2 linked regions of the Diceros bicornis minor genome follow. The protein of the gene in region 1 purifies or fractionates together with the protein of each later gene. This does not show direct contact. Links are inferred from orthologs where the notes say so. Each region holds a gene or a part of one and is shown in the gene's direction. Other genes may lie near its edges.

Region 1 (8,086 bases):
GACCTATAATTGATGGCATAATTTTGAGAGTGAAAGAGGGTGTGCTGTTAATAATTAAACCAATGGCAGCTGTAAAGCAGCTCACGCCTAGGCCCCGGGACTTACGCAGTTTTTAAAAATGTAAACATCTCTCCACTGCACATGGAGAACTAGTATCCCCTGCCATAAATAAGTTAGTGAAACTAAAGCCAATGAAAATAAAACAATGCCAGTGCTTTAAAATTCCAGCTAGAAAACTGATCTACGGTGAAAAAAAAAAAACAAACCAAAAAACCCTGAATAGTGGCAGCCCCTGGAAGGGTGGGATGGGAATTGACTGGGAAGGGACATGAGGCAACTTTCCCTCCACAGAGGTGAGTTACTCTGGCATATGCCTTTGTCTTGGTGAATGTACATTTCAGATCTGTGCATATTATTACATGTAAATTTCACCTTCCAAACAAAAACTAAGAAAACAGCCATAAACGATCCTTGAACTCTAGGTAATGATATGCATGCTGAAGTGTTTAGAGGTGAAGTGGACTAACGTCCTTGTTTTATTCGTAATTTTTTTCCAGCTTTATTGAGGTATAATTGCCATATAACATTGTGTAAGTTTAAGGCGTATAAAGTGTTGATTTGATACACTTATATATTGCAAAATGATGACCGCCATAGGGAGCTAACACCTCCATCACGTCGCAGAATTACCATTTCTTTTTCATAGTGAGAACATTGAAGATCTACTCTCTTAGCAACCCTCAAGTATACGATACAGTATTGTTAACTATAATCACCATGCTGTGCATGAGACGCCCCAAATCTTCGACTTTCTTTGAAATGCATCAAAAAATAGGATGATAGATGGGTGGATAGAGATGGATATGCAATAAAGCAAAATATTAATAGTGGACTCTAGGTGTTGCGGATATGAGTATTCTCTACAATTCTTTCCATTTTTCTAAAAGTCCCCAAAATTTCACAACAAAATGCGGGGAAGAAAATTCTAACTAGATCTTGTGGCTTTCTGAAGGCTCTGCTTCTGAGCTCTGTTTAAAGAGGGAGATAAGCATTAGAAAATTGTTCAAGAGATATGAGCAAAAGAGAGTGAGCCTTTCTGTTTGAGGATAATAAAGGATTTCAAGAATTGCAAAAAGGTAAGACTTTCTCAGCATGTGGTTCAACGTTATTTAATGCACTGCCCAGAATAATCATCCATATCATATGGCCTGGAATAATGTGATGCTTTGTCTCCGGGACACATGTTTGGGAAAAACAGCATCTGTCCAAGCCCTGAGCCCCAACTGCTGTTTTCATAGGAGAACCTATCTTTCCAGTATTTCTTGTAAGTGTTCCTTGGAGAGGTCGTGGGGGCTTCTTGCACTAGAGGAAAACCTCCATGCTTTTCCTGTTCCGTGACTCTTCCTGGAAGGTGCTGGGGACACAATGGCTTCCCTGGGGCCCTGGCTGAGTGTAGGTGATGAACTTCTTGGCACTGGGGACAGGCCACTAAAGTTCTGTGGCCTCAGTTCCTGCATCTGCAAAATGGGGATGGTTCTGCTACCCTGCCCTCCCACCCCCACCCCCCACCCCCCACTTCTGTTCTGCTGGTGCTGCAAGGATTTCCTGGAGCATTAAGTGAAAAGCGCTCAGAACAGTGTCTCACTCATGGTGAGCTCACAATATAAACATTAGCCGTCCTTACTAATACTGTTATGATGAGCCATGCTCGGGGTGGGGGCGGGGAGCATGACCCAGACAGGAGAAAAGACTTCACGGTGGATGTGGCTTTTGAGTCAGTTTTCAAAGGAAGAAAATTTTACAAAGATGAGGAGGGAGGGTGGTATTCCAGAAAGAGGTCACTGTGAGAGCCAAAGCCTAGTGGCCTCGGTGGGAAATGCAGCTCCTGTCTGGGGAGCCAGCGCACAGCCCCACCTAGCTGCAGCGAGGGGCAGAAGGCTGGGGAGGGGAACGGCAGGGCGGGTGGGGAAGGGATCTGTGCTGGAATGTGCAGGGCCTCAAGGCAACTGCCCAGGAGTTTGCTGACAAAGGCTGGGAGGCTCCTCCCTGGTCTGGATTTCAGCCTTGCCTTTTCGCCTAATCTCTTTTCTGGCCCCTGGACCCCGCTCTCCAGCCACCATGACCTTCTGGCTGTTCAGACACATCAAGCTCTTTCTCTCACTTGCTTTTGTGTCTGCCTGAAATGCTGTTCCTAATACCTCTTCCCCCTCCTGCGGACTCAGTGCAAATGCCACCTCCTCCAGGATGCCTTCCCTGGCTTCCTAGTGAAGGGGAGGAAGACTATCCTTTACCCACTCTGGGTCCTTTCTGGCTGGGCTACAAATTAAATTGACATGAGACCGCATAGCAGGAGAAAATCCAACAAAGCTTTATAACGTACACATGGGAGAAACCAGGGAAACTGAGTTTCTCAACAAATGGCGGAGGTTTTCACCTTAAATAGCATATTCAGGTAGACAAAGGAGGATGTTGGGGGGGTGGGGAGTCAGCTATGGGAGATTACCAGAAAGCACAATAAACAAGAGTATGCACTGATAAGAGTTTCTAGAGATAAGGTCATCCCCACTTCTTCCTGGTACAGAGAGGGAGATATCTTTACAAATGGACATTTCCCTTCAACAGAACTTTGATAAGAATGGGCTTAGCAAGGACCCTCCCACTCTATCCATACACAGATTTAAATTCATTTAGGCAGTTAGTGGGAAAGGGGTGAGGTCAAAGTTTCTTTCAGAGAAAATAATCAAGGTGAAGAGACATATTTTGAGGGGGCCAATTCCGATCTCCCACTAGCTAAGGAGCTAAGGAGAATAACCCAGGTTATTCTCTTCATTGCATGCCTCCCATTCTGCAATTATCCTGCACATGTTTTTTACTTGCTTCTTATCTGACTGCTCCCAAGAGACTCTCAGCTCCATGAGGGCTGGCACTTTGCATCCCCAGCACCTAGAGTGCTGCCTGACCTCATAGATGCTCAGTAAATGGACGTCCTAAAGGAAGGACTAAAAGATTTTTAAACAGGGGAGCGAGACAACCTGACATGTTTTAAAAACCCCCCTCTGACTGCTGTGGGAAGAACAGACTGTGAAGTGAGGGCAGAGCAGGGGGATCTGGGAGCGGGAAATGCACAGGTCCAGGTGTCACTGACTACGGACCTCGAGAAAGTCAAAGGTGGGTTTGGAAGCAATTAACTGGTTTTTTTTTTTTTTTTTTGCTGAGGAAGATTAGCCCTGGGCCAACATCCGTGCCCATCTTCCTCTACTTTATATGGGACACTGCCACAGCATGGCTTGACAAGCAGTGCGTCGTCAGTGCACGCCTGGGATCTGAACCTGTGAACCTGGCCTCGAAGTGGAGCGCCCACGCTTACCGGCTGCGCCACCAGGATGACCCAGCAATTAACTGTTTTTCCAAGTTGTTTCTTTTCCTTTTGTATATTAAGGAGATGTAACCACCAGCCATCCTGAAACTGACCAAGGGAGGCACTCAAGGGAGATATAACCACCAGCCATGCTGAAACTGACCAAGCCTCACCACAAGAGCTACGCCCACGACCTTTGCCTTATTTTTAATGCAAAAATCTCTCCAGGTGGAGCTTAGGCCTCATGATGTGGAAGCATGTTCTCCAACTGAGCCTGTGCAATCGAATACCTGCCTCTCCCTTTTGAATATTCATTCCCCAACCAAATAAAAGTTCCTGCTTTCCTTGGTTCCCAGACGCCCTGACTTTGGAAATGATTCTTCATGGTCTCCTATTTGCTGCAAATACACTTTACTTTGTGAGACAACTTCCACTGGTGTAGTTTTATTTAACTTACCAGGAGGGGAGGCCACTTGGTTCGGTGTCACAGGGAGTGATGATGGGCGCCAGGATCAGGGTGGTGGCAGTGGAGGGAGTGAGACGTGGTCAGAAATTTGGGAGGGAGAAGAGACACAATAAGGGGAAGGGGCAGAGGGTGGTAAACAATGAGAAAGAGAGAGGAGCCCCTGACTTGTGGCTTTGATGATGGAGGGGGTGGGGGATGGAGACACAGGAGGAAGAGTGGATATGCGGAAAGAGGACAAACAAGTGTCGGGATGCCTGATGGACATCCCAGCGATGAAGTCCAGGAGGCAGTAATAATAATAATTATTGTAACTAGCACATGAGCTCCATGCCTAAGTTGTTCATCACTGGTCAGATATTTATTGAGCACAGGGACACAGCAGTGGTTGTGGCACACACAGTCCCTGCCCTCATGGGGCTGATGTTCTGTTGATGGAGACAAACGAAACAGATTAATGGGTCAAGAAAGAAACACATACTTTAATGTCAGGTAGCGATAAGTCCTGGGGGAGAGGGTGGAATAAAACAGGGTAAGTGGACAGACGAGGGGAGGAGACCATGTTGGAGAGTCTGACGCCCAGTAAGGATTTATAAATATTTGTTAATCAAAGACTTAAAGACAGAATGTGGACGGCTGATTTAGTGTGCGTTTAGGGACAAGATCTAGTTATCTTCCAAAGATTCCACGAGGTTTCTTCCCTGTTATACAGATGAAGGAAACTGATGCAGAACGGTATCGCAATGAGACACCAATACAGTGATGGAAAGTGCAACCGAGAGAGGAGAGGTGACCTCTAATGGAAAAGACCTCGGGGAGAGGCCCCCCAGACAGGGTCATTTATGGGGCGGGGAGGCAGAGCAGCGTGCACAGACCTATGACGTCATCGGGACGTTACATAGCGTAACATCACCTGGACGTAGCGCTATTTCCCTCCCCGGACAGGTCCTCAGGCAGTCGGGTACGGTCTGAATTAAGCCTCTCATTGGCTACTCGCTCCGTCAATCCGTTTCATTCTTCCCTTCTTCCGTCCCGCCTTCCTAAACCCGCCTTTGATAGGCTGGCGCAGCTGTCACTTCAGAAAGGGCCGCATTCCTTCCGCCTTTCTCCAGGAGACCAGGAGCGCGGAGGGCGGATCCTAGCGGCGCCCACCCCTGGGACTCTGCTTCCACCTCTGATTGGCTGCCCTGGGTGCCGGTCGCTACGCCACCCGCCGCAGATTAGCCATCCGGCCGCCGCTCTGCGCGGCGCCGGTTCCGCCCCCGTCGGGTGTTTGTGGTGGGGCTGCGGAGTCGCCGATCCCGCCGGAAGCACCAGGACAATGGGGACCCGGGACGACGAGTACGACTACCTATTCAAAGGTGTGGCCGGTGGGGCACAGACGGGCGAGGGCGCGGCGGCGAGGCGGCGGGCAGGCGGGCCGGCGGGCCGAGGTTGCGTTCCAGGCCGCTGGGCCCAGGCCGGAGCCCGGGGCTTGGGGCCCGGCGGGTCAGGCAGCCGGGAAGGCCGGGGTGGGCCAGGCTCAGTCAGCTTCGGGCCGGGGTGCGCGACCGTGCGGAGCGGGCGGCCCAGGGAGCCCTGGGGGCCCTGGATGAGCCGGGGCGGAGCTGGGGCACAGAGGGGGTGGGGCCCGGAGCGGTGGGAGAGGCCGTTAGGGGCGGGGCCTCAGGAGGGGCGGGGCCGCCCCAGCATTCGGCGGGCCGGGCTGGGTGGAAAGCTCCCTTCGTGGTGGGGGCGGGGCCTTGGAGGCGGGGGCTAGGCGGTAGTGGGCGTGTCCAAGAACTTGCTGGGGCCGGGCGCTTCACGGGGTGGGAGGGGCCAGACCTGATTGGTGGCAGCGCGTCTGGGGGCGGGGCCTTGGAAGGGCGAGGCGGACAATGGGGGTTGAAATGTGTGGGGGGGAGCCTGGATTGGGGTGCGGACCCCGAATTGCGTGGAGGGGCACGTGGGGGGACTGTGTGTGCTGGACCCGGGCCCCGTGTTTAACAGCAACAATTATATCTCTTAATTATTAGAACATTAACAGCACTGTCCAAATACCTGCGTTTTTCTAAGCACTTTATACTCATGTAGTCATTGAAATCCTCAAAACCATGTGAGGTCGGTATTATCCAGCCTTTCTCTTTATGGACCTGGAAACTGGCTCAGAGAGACGAGTGTTAAGTGTTGGAGCAGGACTTGAGCCTAGATCAGCTGTGGGCTTTACCACTTAGGAAGTGTGGCGGGGGGCGGGGGGGGGTGGCGCGGCTTGCAGCCAGGATCTGGGGCCGAGGTTGTCAGACTGCCTCCCCCAACACGTGCGCGCTGATGGCTGGGCCTCACCAACCCTGCCCCGGGGGTAGAGGGCTCTAAGAGCCTCAAGTAAGGCTGAGGCAGATCAGGCAGCCATTGCCCGCCTGGGGCCAGTGGGGAGCTCATTCACCCTGCCCCTCAAGCTGGGAGATTCCCTCCTGATTGGGGGGTCACTGGCTTCACAGTGCCTCTGTGCCAAGCTGGGCTTCGGTCAGGGCCTGTGCTGGGCTCCCTGGCTGACAGTGGCCACCCTTGAGGCTAACCCCTGGGCCCACGTGGGGCACCTTGGCCCTGCTGCCTGCGGGTCTGTCTCCCATGCCAGCTGTTGGCATCTTCCCCTCGATGGGGGAGCCTGGCCAGCCCTGAGAGTGTGGTCTGTGTCTGTCACTGCCCATTGTGTCTGTAGTATTATCTAGCATGTGGGGGCCTGGGGACCTTGGGGACCTGGACATTGGGGTGGAATGCTCCGTACCTGGGATATCCATGTGGCGAAAGGCTTCTGGGCAGAGGGGGTGCCCATGCAAAGGCCCAGGGTCGTCACACAGCTCCATGGGCTTGGCGAGATGCGTGCAGGCTGCTATGTCGCTGGCCAGTGAGGCTGTGTGGTCGGCAGGCATCAGGCCAAAGCCCTGGTGCTGCCGGCTGAGCCTTGGGGTCTCACCTAAGAGCGAGGGAAGCTCTATCAGGGCTCTGGGGACTGGTGACAGGTGGACCGGACTCCAGTCCTGCTGCACCTGGTGCCTGTCTTTGCTCTGCCCGCCCTGAGACATCTGCTCCCCAGGTCCGGGCTGGGCACTCACCCGGATGTGGCACTGCCAGGGCAGAAGGCATTCCCAGTGGCCACCTCCAGGTTTCTGTGGTCATTCCCCGCTTGTTATTTTCAACTGTTTGCTGTTATAAATAACCCAGGTCCAAGCGTTTGCACAAGTCATCTTTTGCTCTTTGGGTTATTTCCTTGAAGTTTGTTCCCAGAAGTACAGTTACTGGGTCAGGGGCAATGGAGCGGTCGTGTGCTTCCCGGGATGCATCTCCAGGGTCCGCTTCCTGGAAACACTGATCTGGCTCCTGTGGCAACTGGTACGTGGTGGGGGCGGGGGGTGCCTGCGCCACTGCCCTCCCCCTCTGGCCTCCTTTTTCTGAGTCGAGCAGGTGCCTTCCAGTCGGGGGAGCCCTTCAGGAGCGGAGAGGGCAGCGATCCTCTGCCCCCTGCCCTGTGCGCAGCCTCCCTCAGGCTTCAGTCACTTTCCCCTGGCCCTGCCCTGGGCACAGAGGGGCCACCCCTCTCCCTTGGGACACTGGCTGCCCCCTGTCCTGCCCTCCTTCAGTGCCTTGTGTTATTTGGCAGCCACATCATATCTTGGATCCCCTGACCTGCTCGGCTAAGGCCAACAGACCCCCGTTGGTGCTGTGTGCTGTTTATTTTCCTCCTTGCACATTCTGCCCTCCCCTAGGAATGAGGTTGTTTATTTGTAGCTAATTATAGATCCTTACATTTATCCTGCTAACATTTTATAACCTGGGACCATCTTCCCAGCCTGCCCATTGATCCCCAGGGGTCGCCCCTGACCTCTCCTCTGATGGACTGGCTGTGGGGTCCACAGTGGGTGCAGCTGTGTCCCCAGGGGCCACCGAGGCCTTCCCGGAGCCCCCAGGCACTCACCTGGCCTGTGAGGACGTGGCTGGTGTGGGAAGCTGCCGTGGTGGCCCAGGGCCCTCTCCTCTGGATTGGCCCCTGCCCCATCTAGGAGTCCTTCTGGGGAGGTGCCAGGAGCGAGTGGCAGCTGGCTCCCGGGAAACAGGCCAGCCCCAGTGCTCGGCCCCTCTGCTGGGTGCTCCTGAGGCAGCCTCCCCTCTCTAGCCCGGGCAGGGCCCCCCACCCAGCCCCCCTGGTCCAGGATCTGAGCACACCATCTTCCCCATTGCCAGTGGAGGCTCTGCCTGTGCCTTGACTTTGGGCCCCTGTCCTCTGCTCT
Region 2 (8,088 bases), on another chromosome or scaffold:
CACATTAGAGGTGATACGCATATGGGAAAATAAACCACTGGTTATAGAACTGACAGAAGCATCCAAGGAAATATTGTCCCCACCACGACTCGGTTTGGGGGTGTATCCATTCACTTTGAGAGACCAGGCCACTGGATGATTTTGAGATTTGCATGAATGTTACAGGGTTTTTAAGTAGCCTATTTTAAAAATTTACCCTATTTTAAAAATCTAACATGAAACAAGTTATTCTTTTATAGTGCAGGCAATCTTCAGTTCATCAGATGAAGGGCTAAACTAAGATTTGGGGGACTGCCTATTCCTTCCTCTCTACCATTCCTCATTCTCTCCCCAGTACCCCATTCCCCACTCACGATACCTTTCCCCCCATGTTGTCTTTCTTCATTTCATAAATTAAGCCCTATCATAAAGTTAAAGATAATTTATAATTTACTAAAATTTGAAATAATCGTTTGCCATTAAACCAAGAAAAACTCTACATGTCTAGTCTATGACCCCAAATAAATGACTTTATTGTTTATTTTTTGTGGATAACAATCAACTTTCTTTAGAAATCAAAGCAGATGCCACATTTACTCATACTGAACAGGGGAGTTAATGTCATGACATATTTGTCTAAGTGTTTCACATATGGTTCCTCAGGAGGCCTATTCCTTCTTTGTCTAGGATCATCTTGCTGGCTCCATCCTATGAGATAAAGCTAAGCATGACATATATAATACAGCATTTCTTAAGAAATGTTCATAAGGAGGCATTTGTTTACTGGAAAGAGCATAACTTCAGATCTTAGCTTTACGACTTTCTGTATGATCCTGAACATTTATTTAGTCCAGTTTTTTCAAACTGTAGATTGCAACCCATTAGTGAATTGTGAGACTGATTTAGCAGGATGTAAAACGGTATTTTTAATAATAAATAAATAAAATAGAATAGAAAGTATCAGAGTGCATTGCACATGGTAAGGGTAAGTATTGGTTCATGAAACTTTTATTTCAGTGAAGACATGTCTATGTGTTCTTCAGTGGTCAGAATATAAAATGTATTATTGTGGGTTGAAGGAAAACAATTTTGAAAAACAATGACTTACCCATTCTGAAGCTCAGTTTCCATAAAATGGGATAAAAATCTCTTTCACAGGTTGTAATGAGAAATAAATGAGATAATGTTTGTACTCATACACAGTAGGGGCTCGAGCAGTAACTGCGAGCTTCTTTTTCTTTTCTCTGAAAAAAGACCCATAATATCTATGGTTCAGGAAAAAAAAAATCACTCTATAATTTCTTCAACCACAACGGTGTTTAAAATAGAACGGGAGAGGGGCCGGCACCGTGGCTTAGTGGTTAAGTGCATGCGCTCCGATACTGGCGGCCCGGGTTTGGATCCCGGCGCGCACTGACGCACCACTTGTCAGGCCATGTTGAGGCGGCGTCCCACATACAGCAACCAGAAGGATGTGCAACTATGACATACAACTATCTACTGGGACTTTGGGGAGAAAAAGGGGGTAAAAAAAAAGGAGGAGAATTGGCAATAGATGTTAGCTCAGGGCCGGTCTTCCTCAGCAAAAAAAGAGGAGGATTGGCATGGATGTTAGTTCAGGGCTGATCTTCCTCACAAAAAAATATATGTGTATAACGAGAGCTATAGTATGACCTAGGTCCTCCAGTTTTACCAACTTTTGATGAATAAGCCAACTTCTTTCTCCAATTTCATGAAATTTAAGATAAATAAATGACATTACCTGACCCTGTTGGGACTTTCCTGCCCTCCCTACTTTCCTACCACACACATCCATACTTTCCCACACACATCCATACTTTCCCACCAAAGCAAGAGGCTTCACATGCACACAGGACAGTATCGGTTCCCATAGGGTCACATGTCATCCATGTGCAGCAGCTCCCTGGGACCTAAGATAGAGGTAAACAGTATTTTTTTTTTTTCCATCAAATGAGAATTTTAAAAAGGTTCAGTACAGTGAGGAATTTTAGAGAACATCATAAATGTTACACTTTTAATTTAATATGGGAAACAAAGAATAGCATTCAGTTTTATAATTTGACAGTTAAAGAGACTGAGGAGAAAAGAAGAAAAGCAAATAGGAAGGGGGGGAAGAAAAAATAATTTAGAGGGGGCCGGCCCCGTGGCTTAGCGGTTAAGTGCGTGCGCTCCGATAATGGCGGCCCAGGTTCGGATCCCAGGTGGGCACTGACGCACCGTTTCTCCGGCCATGCTGAGGCAGTGTCCCACATACAGCAACTAGAAGGATGTGCAACTATGACACACAAGTATCTACCAGGGCTTTGGGGAGAAAAAGGGGAAAAGAGGAGGAGGATTGGCAATAGATGTTAGCTCAGGACTGGTCTTCCTCACCAAAAAAAAAAAGAGGATTAGGCATGGATGTTAGCTCAGGGCTGATCATCCGCACACACAAAAAAATAATAATTTAGAATATTTATTTGTAAATATTTTTTTTTTCCCCCAAAGCCCCAGTAGATAGTTGTATGCCATAGTTGCACAGCCTTCTAGTTGCTGCATGTGGGACGTGGCCTCAGCATGGCCGGAGAAGCGGTGTGTCGGTGCGCACCCAGGATCTGAACCCGGGCCGCCGGCAGCGGAGCGCTCGCACTTAACCGCTAAGCCATGGGGCCGGCCCCTAAATATTTTTAATTTATTGATTCACTTATGGAAAAACTATTTTCCCAAACCAAAAAAAAAAAAAAATCAGTTGGCATTGTTTTACAGTTTTGGAAATCTTTTTAATGCCTGATTGGATTCTCATATCTGCTTCTGCATTCAATCTGTTGCTATACAGCCAATATATATATTTTTTCTATGTTAGAAACTAAGGATACAGCTAGTATACAAGGATGAATCCTTTCCTGCCTTGAGGAGCTCAGACTAGAGGAGTTTGGAGACTCAGAGAAACAAAGGGTAACCAAAAAGAATTCCAGAAGTCAGAAAGAAAAAGTCATAAAGAGATGCAAAGAAATTTACACATATGAGCCCTTAGAGCTATAAACATAGAAAACTTGAAACAAACTCTTCTACTTAATACCCTGTGTGTGTGTGTATGGGAGGGGGTCTCACTGGGTTAATAAAGGACTTATAACTGCCTGAAGCTATAAAAGTTCCTAGTAAAGTCTGAACAGAGATTTTCCTGAAATCTTGGTTTTTTCGTCATTGGAAAATAAACTTCCTATTATAAAAAGTAGGGCTGTCACATCTCTTTTTACAGTGTTTCAAAAAGTTGGTCATATGGCCCTTTGGAACCCTACCCCTCGAGGAGATGGATGTGTGAGGATGTGTGACATTTTAAACTCTAGGCTAAAGCAGGGTTATCACCTCTTGGTAGTTGCCTGACAGCTGATTGGAAGCTGGCCAAGAGCCGCTGGGCCTGACAGGTGGACTGGTGATTCCCCACTCCAGACCAGTGGTGACAAATTTAAACTATCTTTGGCACTCTCAGCTTCTTTCTCTGCTCATCTTTCATTACTGTATTCCTGCTTTAACCTAGCTTATCAGTCTGCCTTCTCCTCGTGATTTGAGCAAATTCACATTTCTATTCTTCAACATACAATTGTTTAGCCTTCAGAATGCTCTCTGCTCTTTCTTGTTCTGCTGGATCATATATAATATCTCTTCTAAAACCTGGCTCACAATATTTTTGAGAAGCCTTCCATTCATTCATTCACCATATACTGAGTGGCTATGCCTTCTGCATTAATTAACCATACTCCTCTATGTTCCTTCAGCAATTAGGTACTCCATTTGTTTTACTTTTGTACATATTGCATGTTTTACATAGATATCTTGAAGCTATTACTCTTTATTCTGCCTCCCAATTAAACATGGAAGCAGTGACCTCTTTTCTTTCATCATCTATCCTACATTATTGTCCCAATAATAGTAATACAGTACCATGGTAGGAATCTGTACTCTCTCTTTAAATCCTCACAAAACCCTGTAAAGTGTTAGTATTCCTGGATCCACTTTGCAGACATAGAAACTGAGGTTCAAAGAGGTTAAATCAGTCACCCCAAATCAAACAGCCTTTAAGTGGCAGGGAAGGTGGCATCCAAGATCTGGGCCCAAATAACTAGTTTCGATGTAGAATATTAAGTAAGGCCCATGAGGGATGGGACAGAGGTTCTGAGGGCGAGGGCTCCCAATCAATAATGCTAATAAACAAATACACAAAACCAACACCAGAGGTCCGTGAATAGGGCGTGTTTTTGTTTATTTGTTTTATACGGTTTTGTTGTTTCTGAAGAGGGGTTGTGCTCTCCAAGCCTCTGTCATTTCACTCACCTCTCCCAAACTGGCTCTGTTCAGCCCGTCTCCGGAGGGATCGATGTCCAGAGGCTGGAGGCCAAAGGGTGACCAGGCAGGTGGTGACCTCGGAGGCAGAACCGCGGCCTCCAGTCGCACCGCTAACGGCGAAAGATTGACCCGGTTGGATCACGCCATTCCCGAAGCGATAAGGAGCATAATCTTGGCATCGTCCTTAAAGATAAATAGAAAAAGGATAGTGAGGGTGACTATCCTCCCCGCCCGCCCTCTCTCTTTCTCTTCTCCCCACTGGGCCTCCAGTGTCCATCCCGCGGCCTGATTTACTAAGGGAGTCGTGTGGAACAAGGGAGGGGGGAAAGCCAATGATTGCAATTATGATAACTCGGTTGCTAACTCAAATAGACTCATTTACATATAATTCGCATGTTCGTGTACTTATGGAAGTACGCAGTATGTCTGTACTTCTCCTCTAACAGAGCACCCACGCCCGCCTGCCCCCTGCCGGTCTCTACTCTAGCCCAGGAGCCCCTGCCCCTTATCCAGCAAATTTTACTTCCCTGTCGGCTTCCTTAGCCTCGCAAACGCTATCACTTGTCTGCCTCCAAAGATTAGCCCCTCCTCCTACCCGTAGGCTCCTCCCTTCGTCCTCTCCTCCCTCCCCAGCTTCCAACTATCTCTTCCCCGCCCCTTTTTCTATTTCTGAACAGGCATGTTCCAGGCAGCTCACCCGACTCCTTAGAGTACCATGGGATCTGTAGGGTCCTGAGCGTCGGAGAAGCAGGAAAGCATATCCAAAGACGAAGGGCTTGCATTCAGAAGAAGAATCGAGCCCTGCTGGGGATTTTTTCTTTTTTTTTTTTTTGGTCTTGGTTGTGCGGACGGAGGAAGAGGAGGTTTTGCGGCCCAGTCGAACTTGAGGCAACGCGAAGGACCCTTCAGGCGGCGCCGAGGGCAGCCCCGCAGCCGGGGCCTGGTGCAGCCGCCGCGGCCGCTGTCAGGGAAGCGCAGGCGGCCAATGGAACCCGGGAGCGGCCGCTGCTGCTGAGGCGGCGGTGTCGGCAGCCCGACCCCGACCGCCCGCACTCCCTCCGCGGGGGTCCCCCGGAGGTAAGCGACTCCTACTGGGTGAGTCCTCCTTGTCCTGTGTGTTGGGGGGTCCCTTTCTAACCCTGTCCCGCATAGCCGCCCCCCGCCCCCACAGCTGTGTTCGACTAGAAAACTGCCCTCCCGGTGGCAGCTGCACCCCGGTCCCTTCTCCACCCTTTCCTCTCAAGCCTGGGGTCCTCCTCTGCTTTTTGGCTTCCTCTTCTATTTAGCTCCGCCCTCCGTCCCGGGGATTCCCCCCTCCCTCACTCTTATCCTTGTTGCCTCCGTCCCGAATTATCTTCTCTTAAGTCGTGAACTCTTTCCACATCAGGACGCCTTTTATAATGTCGACCCTCGTTTGTCCTTCCTCGTCGTGTGTGCTCCTGCCCCAAACCATTCTCATGGCCTCCACCTTTATCCCTTTTCCTGTTTTGCCTCTTTCCTCCGATGTTTCTGTGCAACCCCAGCACTGGGTTCTCATTTCCCTGGGCTAAAGATTGTAGCCCTCTCTTCCTCTGCTGCTTCTGATTCCATTACCTCACTGCCACCCACCCACCCTGCTCCTGGCTTCCAAGAATTGCCTATTCCCCTTTCCTTAAGGGATCTCAGGCCCTCATCACCATTCCCAAAGTACAATTTGCATTCTACTTTGACCTTAATCCTTACGCTTTTTCTCAGGAGTGCTTTATGATCCCTGTAACTTTCTTTAGCTTCCCTTTCCTCAATCCTCCAACCTCTGGAGGTTTGTTCCTATAGAAGAGAGAGGATCTGACAGTGTCCCTTCCCATTAAAGATTTCCAACTTTGACACCTTCCCTTTTTTTTTTAATTTTTATTTATTTATTTTTTCCCCCCAAAGCCCCAGTAGATAGTTGTATGTCATAGCTGCACATCCTTCTAGTTGCTGCATGTGGGACACGGCCTCAGCATGGCTGGAGAAGCGGTGCGTCAGTGCACGCCCGGGATTCGAACCCCGGGCCGCCAGCAGCGGAGCACGCGCACTTAACCGCTAAGCCACGGGGCCGGCCCATACACCTTCTCCTTTGAGTTTCAAGGATTTTGCTGATCCTTGTGAAACTTGGTTCTGTTTTCCTTTATGGTCTTTATGTGTTCTCTGTCACACTGTTTATCTCCACATGTCACGTATTTCAGGATCAGCTAAACCTTGAACTAAGAAGAAAATGTGTTGGGAGGAAGGGGAGCCTCAGCTCTCTCAGGCTTTTCTGGACAGAGGGTGTTTCTGAAGGATGGAGCAAGTTTTGAAGTCCCTATCAGATTACACTTTGTTGACTACTCAGGATCAGCCACTAGGAGGGATGAACAAGCCTGCATGGGAACTGAATGAGGTTGTGAGAAGTTTTGTTTTGGGTTATTTAATTTTAGGCTTGTCTTAAAGGGATCACAGAATAGAGTGTCTTCCCACCCCTGTCCAGATCCAAGAGGAATCAGTTTACTGTCTGTGGCTTACTAAAATAGTTTCGGTTGATTCCATAAGCGCTTAGGCCTGGGGTGGGATTGGGGCTAACTGGGAAAAGGAACATGAGACAATGGAAAGAGCTTGTACATTCAGAATCAGGACACCTAGGTTCAGCATGTGACTTCCTCGCTTGACCTCTAGAGTGACCTTTTTGGGAAAATGGCCCACTCTATAAGCATCAGTGCAGTAATAAGCTAATAACAGGATGTGGGTTGGGGGGGAAATCAGACTTGGTTTATTTGTTTACAAAACATTCTTAGTTCCTCAGACAAAAGGTATTTATTAGTAGTGGTTTAGTTGTCCTGAGAATTTTCCTTCATCTTGGTCTCTCTGTTGGGTCGTTCTAGTCTACGACCATGGGAGTAAGTCAGTTTGAGAGACAAACTCTAGGCCTGCTTCTTTCATCTACCTTGCTTTTTTTCCCACTGCATTAAGTTGCTGAGCACCTGTGCTGTTCCTCTTATACTTGAACCATAACTCCAGATTCTATAGGTTGAAAGTATGTTTGTAGAAAAGCCCTTTGAGGAAGCTGGCTGGAAAAGAGAACTTGGAGTGAGTTGAGACTTAGGAAACTAGTTGCTCCCTTTATGCCATGTCTCTCTCGGCCTGCAATAGCGAAGAGGGCACGTGAAGTTCCATTCATCTTCTGGCTCTAGGCCTGTTTGAAAGTAATCATGCTACCTTGTCCCACTTTTCCCTTATCTCCTTCCTCATTACCCAGAGTGTAGTCTACTCATAATCCCCCTTTTTAGGAGCAACTTCACTCCTTGGAAGCACTCCCAAAGAGAAATCATATTTCCCCTAGTTTCCCTACTTCCTTCTCAGAGCTGAGTCCACACTGCATGAGAACATGTTTGCTGAACACCATCCAAAGCAGCAAATTGAGATTCTTTCATTTGGGGAAGAAGTTTGGGAGAAACCTTTCAGTAATCGGCATGAGACAAGAGAGGGCCTAGTCTACGCGCATTTGGGGCTTTCAGCAGGGAGGAACAGTTGAAAGAGAGGTGAGCATGCAGGTTGCTTTCTTTGCCATCTGTCTGTTTCAGCAGGGGCTCTCAGAGCTGGCTTGGGCTGTCTGGCTGGAATCTGCTTATACCAGCTCCATGGCCCTGCACAGAGAGTTCTCAGCCTGATTCAATATTGACTTAACTATCCTGAGACCACTACCCTCCCTACCTCCTGCTGGTACCTTAAGAATGCCCTCTCCCCTGATGCCAGCCCCCCTTGGGGCCT

The links.
Region 2: the proteins of RAB11B (region 1) and PI4KB purify together in Homo sapiens (co-immunoprecipitation; 3 studies listed by BioGRID and IntAct, with this or other methods). This does not show direct contact. The link is inferred for Diceros bicornis minor from reciprocal best matches to the Homo sapiens genes RAB11B and PI4KB.

The regions. Positions count from the first base shown.
Region 1 is NW_026691615.1:317,933-326,018, reverse strand, and holds the start of RAB11B (ras-related protein Rab-11B), read left to right. Parts: upstream 1-5,068; 5' UTR 5,069-5,142; coding exon 5,143-5,182; intron 5,183-8,086. UniProt on the Homo sapiens protein: The small GTPases Rab are key regulators of intracellular membrane trafficking, from the formation of transport vesicles to their fusion with membranes.
Region 2 is NC_080743.1:55,590,264-55,598,351, reverse strand, and holds the start of PI4KB (phosphatidylinositol 4-kinase beta), read left to right. Parts: upstream 1-5,058; 5' UTR 5,059-5,400; exon of another isoform or gene 5,401-5,418; intron 5,419-6,530; 5' UTR 6,531-6,719; coding exon 6,720-6,724; intron 6,725-8,088. UniProt on the Homo sapiens protein: Phosphorylates phosphatidylinositol (PI) in the first committed step in the production of the second messenger inositol-1,4,5,-trisphosphate (PIP). May regulate Golgi disintegration/reorganization during mitosis, possibly via its phosphorylation.